Macaca mulatta: one gene and its partner. The protein of the gene in region 1 interacts with the protein of each later gene in a biochemical or structural test. Links are inferred from orthologs where the notes say so. Each region holds a gene or a part of one and is shown in the gene's direction. Other genes may lie near its edges.

Evidence for each region.
Region 2: the proteins of GABARAPL1 (region 1) and KBTBD6 form a complex in vitro, tested with the Homo sapiens proteins (2 studies listed by BioGRID and IntAct, with this or other methods). The link is inferred for Macaca mulatta from reciprocal best matches to the Homo sapiens genes GABARAPL1 and KBTBD6.

Annotation. Positions count from the first base shown.
Region 1 is NC_133416.1:10,339,697-10,343,739, reverse strand, and holds the start of GABARAPL1 (gamma-aminobutyric acid receptor-associated protein-like 1), read left to right. Parts: upstream 1-1,192; 5' UTR 1,193-1,386; coding exon 1,387-1,476; intron 1,477-4,043. UniProt on the Homo sapiens protein: Ubiquitin-like modifier that increases cell-surface expression of kappa-type opioid receptor through facilitating anterograde intracellular trafficking of the receptor. Involved in formation of autophagosomal vacuoles.
Region 2 is NC_133422.1:20,543,749-20,547,858, reverse strand, and holds the start of KBTBD6 (kelch repeat and BTB domain-containing protein 6), read left to right. Parts: upstream 1-1,284; 5' UTR 1,285-1,550; coding exon 1,551-3,575; 3' UTR 3,576-4,110. UniProt on the Homo sapiens protein: As part of the CUL3(KBTBD6/7) E3 ubiquitin ligase complex functions as a substrate adapter for the RAC1 guanine exchange factor (GEF) TIAM1, mediating its 'Lys-48' ubiquitination and proteasomal degradation.

The DNA of each region.
Region 1 (4,043 bases):
AGCGAGAACGAGGCTTCGCCGCACCTGCCGCAATGCCCAATCTTCCACTGGCATTCCAGGCAGCGCTTTCCAGCCACGTGAGGGATACCTAACCACTGGAACTAAATAAGATGTGGGGGAAGAATTGAGGTCATCACCTAAATTGCTTGATACTCTCTTTTCCAGAAGACAAGCCTCCTTTCTGAGTTAATGGCAGAAAGTGAATCACTTCTTTCTTTCTTTTCTTTTTCTTTAAGACGGTGTTTCGCTCTTGTCGCCCAGGCTGTAGTGCGATGCCGCGATCTTGGCTCACCGCAACCTCCGCTTCCCGGGTTAGAGCGATTCTCCTGCCTCAGCCTCCAGAGTAGCTGGGATTACAGGCATGGGCCACCACGCCCAGCTAATTTTGTATTTTTAGTAGAGACGGGGTTTCTCCATGTTGGTCAGGCTGGTCTCGAACTCCTAACTTCAGGTGATCCCCCTGCCTCGGCCTCCCAAAGTGCTGGGATTACAGGCATGAGCCACCGCGTCCGGCTAGAAAGTGAATCATTTCTGTATTTGATTGTACGTGAAGCCCTCCGTAGTCCTGACTGACATCACGTCTCCTTTGGACCTTGATTACACTCCGCGTCCTTCATCTGACTCCTCTCTTCAGATTCCTGAGTCACGCTCTGTTTATGTTGCTGTTCAGGAGCGAACTGCGGCGCGGCCCAAACACTGTGACGCCAGCGCGGGAGGAGGGCCGCGGGAGGGGCAGCGGAAAGCGCAGAGGGCACGGTGCAAGCACGGGACAGCTCTGCATTGGCCAAAGGGATCCCAGGAGGCCTGGGCCTCTTTTCCCCTGAGGCTGGATCCCAACCAGCAGGAAAAGGATTTTCGCCTTTTGTATTTGTTTTGGGGCCAAACCAAGAAAAACAGTGGAGGGGGAATAAAACATGTTTAAAATTGTTTTTGTCTTAAAACCGTCTTTCACAGTCACAAAATAAAACACAACTAGAATGTTTTGATGTTTGCAATGACATCGATTTTGAAAAACGTTAGCCAGAAAGGAAACGCAGTTAAGACAGCACTCGGCCGCCCCCTGCCCTCGGCGCCTGGGGGGCGGGGCGGGGCGCGCAGGGTGACGTCACAGCCCGACGCGCCACCCAACTGTTTTTGTGCTCCCAGCTCCAGCGAAAAGCCGCCGGTGTTTCTCCACCTGGCTCTCCTCTATCTCCGGGCAGGCTCACCCGAGATCCCCCCCACACCGAACCCCCTCTGCACGCTCGGCCCAGCGCTGTTGCCCCGGGAGCGGACGTTTCTGTAGCTATTTGAGCACACCTTGACGTCGGCGGAGGGAGCTGGACAGGGCCAGCAGCGAAGGAGGCAGGCCCCGCGCGGGGAATCTCGGAAGCCCTGCGGTGCATCATGAAGTTCCAGTACAAGGAGGACCATCCCTTTGAGTATCGGAAAAAGGAAGGAGAAAAGATCCGGAAGAAATATCCGGACAGGGTCCCCGTGAGTGTAGAGGAGCGGGGGGATGGGAGGGGAAGGGCCCGCGGGGGCGGGGGCTGGGAGTCGAGATGGCTTCCCTGGGGCGCCCAGGCGACTCTGGGGAAGGGAGGTGCCGATAATTAGTTAATCCTGAACGCCCTTCAGTGCCCGAGCCAATGGACGTCCAGACTGCGGAGCTTTTAAAACCACATATGCCTGGGGCCTGAACCCCACTTCAGGGCTGACGGTGTTTTTGGGGCCGAGCTGCCATCTTCAGTGACTCAGCAACCCACACGGTCTCAGCAATACTGAGACCCTGTGTGGGTTGAGGTGCGCAAAATAGCGCCCCTGTGTGCGAGAGTGGTTAGATCAGGGCCGTGGATTGGCTCCCTTTAAGAACGCGGGGACACTGTGCTGTGCGGTGAGGTTTGCGCAAACCCGGTCGATTTCTGCCTTGGCTGGTTCTCCTTTAATGAAGTTGACTTTGGCTGTCATATCATTGGGCTTGGGAGGAAAAGGTTCAGAAGCTATTCGGTTCTTTTCTTGCATGACAGGGGGGTAGGGGAGCACAAGACAGTCCGGGCCTGAAAAACAAGGTCACGTTCTCTGCGCAACAGCCCTCTTGCCTCATCGTTCTAGGCTCCGGGAAATGTGTAGGGACAGCCAGCCTCCCCCGGTATTGATTTCTGATCACCTGGCACCTGCACGCGATAAGGCAGGACTGAGACGTTTTTTCTGTGTTTTGGACACCGGCTTAAGTAGTTAAAACTAGCGCAGGTAGTGAGTAGGAACAGAGAAGAAACATTAGGTGTCTTTCAGCATCCGGGCGTTTTCCCCATTACCCCCTCCCCCGTCCCTTGCCTGGTGTTTCTCTAATGTGGGCTGCGCAGCCGAATTGGAGGGCAGAGTATGACTTTTAAGTGGTAAAGGGACCAGCAGCTGTTGGATTTTGGAAATGGAGGAGCAGAGATTTTTAAAATTGTGCTCTTTATCTTCAGGTAGGAACATCAGGATTACATGTCACATCATGGTAAAATAATTGCTGTTATCTGATGTCTTATCTTGATTCGCAGCCACTCTGGGTTTCTTCTCTAATCCTTACCTAACGTTCGTGGTTTTATAGCTACCAGAAGCCAGCAGGGCCTTAGCCCAGCAGTAGAAACCTCTTGTACCCCTTTTCCTTTAAAAAAAAAAAAAAAGTCATTAGGGCTCTTCCATTCCTCAGGAATTACCAAAGGGTTTTCAGTTTATAGAGGGGTGAGCTAATCCCTTACTCGGTAAAGGATCCTTTACAAAATACTTTGCTGGTTTCTGGACCTTGGATACCTGAAAATTTTGCCGAGTTCTGGTGATACCAATCTTTAGAGCAATGATATTTAAAAAATACAGTCATATTTTACTAATAGTTTACAGTAGCAGTATAAGTACTCAGTCTGTAATCATTCGCTTAATCTTTACACGATTATAATCCCCGTTCTACAGACGGAGTATTCAAAGCACAAAGAAATGCGGTAACTTCCTAAAGGTTTCACATTGCTGATCTGTGTTTGAGCCGGAATTCTAACCCTGTCTGACGGACTGTGGAGCTCTCGGAGACCTTAACCTCCGTGTCATACTGTTTCTCAGTTTCTAATATAGTTGTTATTAACCAGAATTAATGACGTGCTGTGGACTTCACACTGTTAAGTATTGGAAATAGATAAATACTTATGTGTATTCTGAATATTTCAGTGCATTCTGTTCTTTTCATGCTCATAGTTTGGTGTTAAATGTTTTACTCCTGTGATAATTTTTAAGCCATTAAGACTGTCACTCAGATTTCAGCTTCCCTAGGGTTATGTTTTAACCAGCGCTGAGCTGCTCCCAAGGTGCTCAGTCTGTGACCTTCTTTCTAGTTATGACGCAGGTTCCTTGATTTGGTTCTAGTTCTGGGAATTCACTGCATCCTTGGGCAGAACTTTTAATCTTGCTGTGCTAGATAGAGTGCCTTGTTTACAGAAAAGAGGGTTAGAGTAGTGGTTCCTAAAGCCCATTCCAGCTTGACCATTGGTGTTATTCAAGCAGTGGTGTATCCTGACTGCTCGCATAACCAGAGTTTAGTCCCACCAATATTTCTTCAGAGCTAACAGTTGAAGAGGTATGCTTGTGCCTTCAGAGAGGAGGGGTTGGTGGGATCTTGAAATTATCTTCAAAGACACAACATATCAAAAAGACTGCTAGAAACAGATTGTCTATTTTAAAAATTCATAGCTCTATTGAGTATTAGTCACATTTTACAAATGAGGAAAACTGAGACCCAAAGAGGCAAAGCATCTAGCCCAGGGTCTACCATAGTGAGGAGTAGAGTTGGGATTCCTGGAAATTTAACCTTGGTTCTGGGAAACCAATCCTTTAATAATTACCCCTCCCCCTTTTCTTCCTCTCCAAACCCCTGCCTTCCCTCCAGGTATTGCGGTCTGCTTTATCACTTTCTTTTTCTGTCTTCCTTTGTGGTTTTTCTCTCTTACTGCTAGGTCTCAGAGTTCCTTTGGGGCACAGTGCTAGCCTCTTTCTGCCTTTTCCTTTTAATTCCTGGCTTACATTACCCTATT
Region 2 (4,110 bases), on another chromosome or scaffold:
CACAGGAGGTGAGTCCAAAGCGGAAACGTGTTAGGTGTTCTCAGTGACTTCTAATGTCTGAACTACATGGGTAAGTAAAGGTTGAGTGAATGACTAAAAATAAAGTCAGTTCTGATGGAGCAGCAACTTCATACAAGCAAGGGGAGAAATGCTTGAGCCTCTGGGTCTAAAAGGATGCTAAATTACCAACCAGGCCTCTGGCTTCCCTTGTGTTTTGGGGTGAGGACCCCTAAAGCATGTCTCTTCTTTTATGTAAAAAAGGGAAAGGGGTACTGAATATTGGAGAGACCAAGTGGGAAAAGTGGCTAGAGAGGACTTCAGATTTTGAAATGCAGATATGGAAGGAAAGTCTCAAAGTAAGGTGATTGGAGGTGGTTTCCTTTTAGTCATGGCAAGTAAGGACAGGCAATTGTGAAAAAACCAGGGATCTAATTCCAGCAACAGCCAACCAATCCTACAAACCCTGAGTTAATTTTTGGTATCAGGGAGAGGCATAGTGAGTAAAAAATAAAAATAAAAAAAATTCATTTCTACTGGATGCATACACTAATACAAGGTGTTAATAATAATAAGGGAACTGTGAAGTGGGGAGAGATATATGGAAGTTCCCTGTCCCTGCTGCTCAATTTGTCTGTAAACCTAAAAATAAAATCTAATTTACACACACACACACACACACACACACACACACACACACACACCCCTAAAAAGGGATCTCTGCTGCAATTTGCAAGGTTTTCTGTTTTCGGGGGCTGTTTTTTGTTTTCCTACAGGCTCATAATTTCAAATTAGTGATGCTTCCTTTTTTTCTATATATATAAAGGCTGGAAGAAAACTTGTCGAACCTTTATATTCTAAGAACTGAGTAATTATTCTACAAACCAACAAATATTAACAGCGTCCTATAACCAACTCATTTAATCTTCACACAATCCTATGAAATACTACTGTTCACATTTTACAAAAGAAGAAACAATTCAAAGAGACAAGTCGAACAATACATACTAGAACGAGGCGACTACTGTGGATTCCAAAACCAAAGTTCCAAACCACAAAATCGAATCTAGGAAAACTGGCGCTCTCGAGTGTCGTCAGTTAAAAAACAAGGAACACCACAGAAGGATCGCGATATTACACAAACTACTACTCCCAACATGCAAAGCGGATTCTTTCCCTCGGTATCGGCCTGGGAGTCCGAGAGGCCCAGCAGCCCTCGGGGCGCGAAAGGCAACCTGGGAGCGGTAGTTCTCCTGGGCCCTAGTATTGTCGCCCACGCGGCAGTAGCGGCTTCTACGGCTCCAAGCCAGCGGGTCCTGTGAAGGCGAGCAGACGCGGAGAAAGGACGCGGGAGTGAGAGAGGGTGAGTCAGCTACTGTCTAAACGATAAAGGGAGGCGGCTCCGCAGGGTAGGGCGGAATTCAGTAAATGGGCTCGTGCTGCGGTCTCTTGGGAGACGCTGCTATCTTAGCGTCAGCGAGGGAAGGTTGAGGAGGAGCCAGAGCCGGGTCCTGCAGCCTTTCTCGCCATCAGCGCCCGTCGCCATCTCCACCATGCAGTCCCGGGAAGACGCCCCGCGCTCTCGCCGCCTCGCCAGTCCCCGTGGTGGGAAGCGGCCCAAGAAGATTCACAAACCCACGGTTTCGGCCTTTTTCACGGGTCCAGAGGAATTAAAGGACACGGCCCATTCTGCAGCCCTGCTGGCACAGCTCAAGTCCTTCTACGATGCGCGGCAGCTGTGTGATGTGACCATCGAGGTGGTGACGCCTGGCAGCGGGCCTGGCACGGGTCGCCTCTTCCCCTGCAACCGCAATGTGCTGGCCGCCGCGTGTCCCTACTTCAAGAGCATGTTCACAGGTGGCATGTACGAGAGCCAGCAGACTAGCGTGACCATGCACGATGTGGACGCCGAGTCCTTCGAGGTGTTGGTCGACTACTGCTACACGGGTCGTGTGTCTCTCAGCGAGGCCAACGTGGAGCGCCTGTACGCGGCCTCCGACATGCTGCAACTGGAGTATGTGCGGGAAGCCTGTGCCTCCTTCTTAGCCCGACGTCTTGACCTGACCAACTGCACTGCCATCCTCAAGTTTGCAGACGCCTTTGGCCATCGCAAGCTGCGATCCCAGGCCCAGTCCTATATAGCTCAGAACTTCAAGCAGCTCAGCCACATGGGTTCAATTCGGGAGGAGACTCTAGCAGATCTGACCCTGGCCCAGCTGCTGGCTGTCCTGCGCTTGGATAGTCTGGACGTGGAGAGTGAGCAGACAGTGTGCCACGTGGCAGTGCAGTGGCTGGAGGCTGCTCCCAAAGAGCGGGGTCCCAGTGCTGCGGAAGTCTTCAAGTGCGTGCGCTGGATGCACTTCACTGAAGAAGATCAGGACTACTTAGAAGGGCTGCTGACCAAGCCCATCGTGAAGAAGTACTGCCTGGACGTTATTGAAGGGGCCCTGCAGATGCGCTATGGTGACCTGTTGTACAAGTCTCTGGTGCCAGTGCCAAACAGCAGCAGCAGCAGTAGCAGCAGCAACTCTCTTGTATCTGCAGCAGAAAATCCACCCCAGAGACTGGGTATGTGTGCCAAGGAGATGGTGATCTTCTTTGGACACCCCAGAGATCCCTTTCTCTGCTGTGATCCATACTCGGGGGACCTTTACAAAGTGCCGTCACCTTTGACCTGTCTGGCTCACACTAGGACTGTCACCACCTTAGCTGTCTGTATCTCTCCTGACCATGACATCTATCTAGCTGCCCAGCCCAGGACAGACCTCTGGGTGTATAAACCAGCTCAGAACAGTTGGCAGCAACTTGCAGATCGCTTGCTGTGTCGTGAGGGCATGGATGTGGCATATCTCAATGGCTACATCTACATTTTGGGGGGGCGAGACCCTATTACTGGAGTTAAGTTGAAGGAAGTGGAATGCTACAATGTTAAGAGAAACCAGTGGGCATTGGTGGCTCCACTGCCCCATTCTTTTTTATCCTTTGACCTAATGGTAATTCGGGACTATCTCTATGCTCTCAACAGTAAGCGCATGTTCTGTTATGATCCTAGCCATAATATGTGGTTGAAGTGCGTTTCTCTGAAGCGCAATGACTTTCAGGAAGCGTGCGTCTTCAATGAGGAGATTTACTGTATCTGTGACATCCCAGTCATGAAGGTCTACAACCCAGTTAGGGCAGAATGGAGGCAAATGAATAATATTCCCTTGGTCTCAGAGACCAACAACTACCGGATTATCAAGCATGGCCAAAAATTGTTGCTCATCACCTCTCGCACCCCACAATGGAAAAAGAACCGGGTGACTGTGTATGAATATGATATTAGGGGAGACCAATGGATTAATATAGGTACCACATTAGGCCTCTTGCAGTTTGATTCTAACTTTTTTTGCCTCTCTGCTCGTGTTTATCCTTCCTGCCTTGAACCTGGTCAGAGTTTTCTCACTGAAGAAGAAGAAATACCAAGTGAGTCTAGCACTGAATGGGACTTAGGTGGATTCAGTGAGCCAGACTCTGAGTCAGGAAGTTCAAGTTCTCTTTCTGATGATGATTTTTGGGTGCGTGTAGCGCCTCAGTGAAATGCACAGGATAAGCAGGGTTTGTTGTAACTGAATTGAAACACTAAGTTGTTTTTACTGTTTTGGAAAATATCTTAAATATCCTTTTTGTTCCTAAAGGAAAGGAAAAGTTGATTAGCTGCTGGTTTGGTTTAGAAAAAGTAATATTTGAAATACGAAGGTAATTTAATATTACAAATGTTAACACTCAGATCAACCTTTTAATAATTTTCTGTGCTAAGGGTCCAGTATTTATTTGATTATTTAGTATGTTTATGTTTCATGACACTAATTTAGTCTTTTGATAAATTTTACATTCTGTTTACTGCCACAAGCACTGTGGCAGTAACTTTTGAATTTTAATGTTTATGATAGAAAAATGATTAGGAATTGCTAGATAGTGTTTTGAAAGCTTATCTTTTTCTTCGGAACAATGTAGATTTCCAAAATGGTTAACCTAAGGGGTCTTTGCAAAATGTGTTATAAGTTAAACATAATTTGGGAAGTTTTACTTTTGTTTTCTTCTATGAAGAAAAAAATGCAGGCCGGGCGTGGT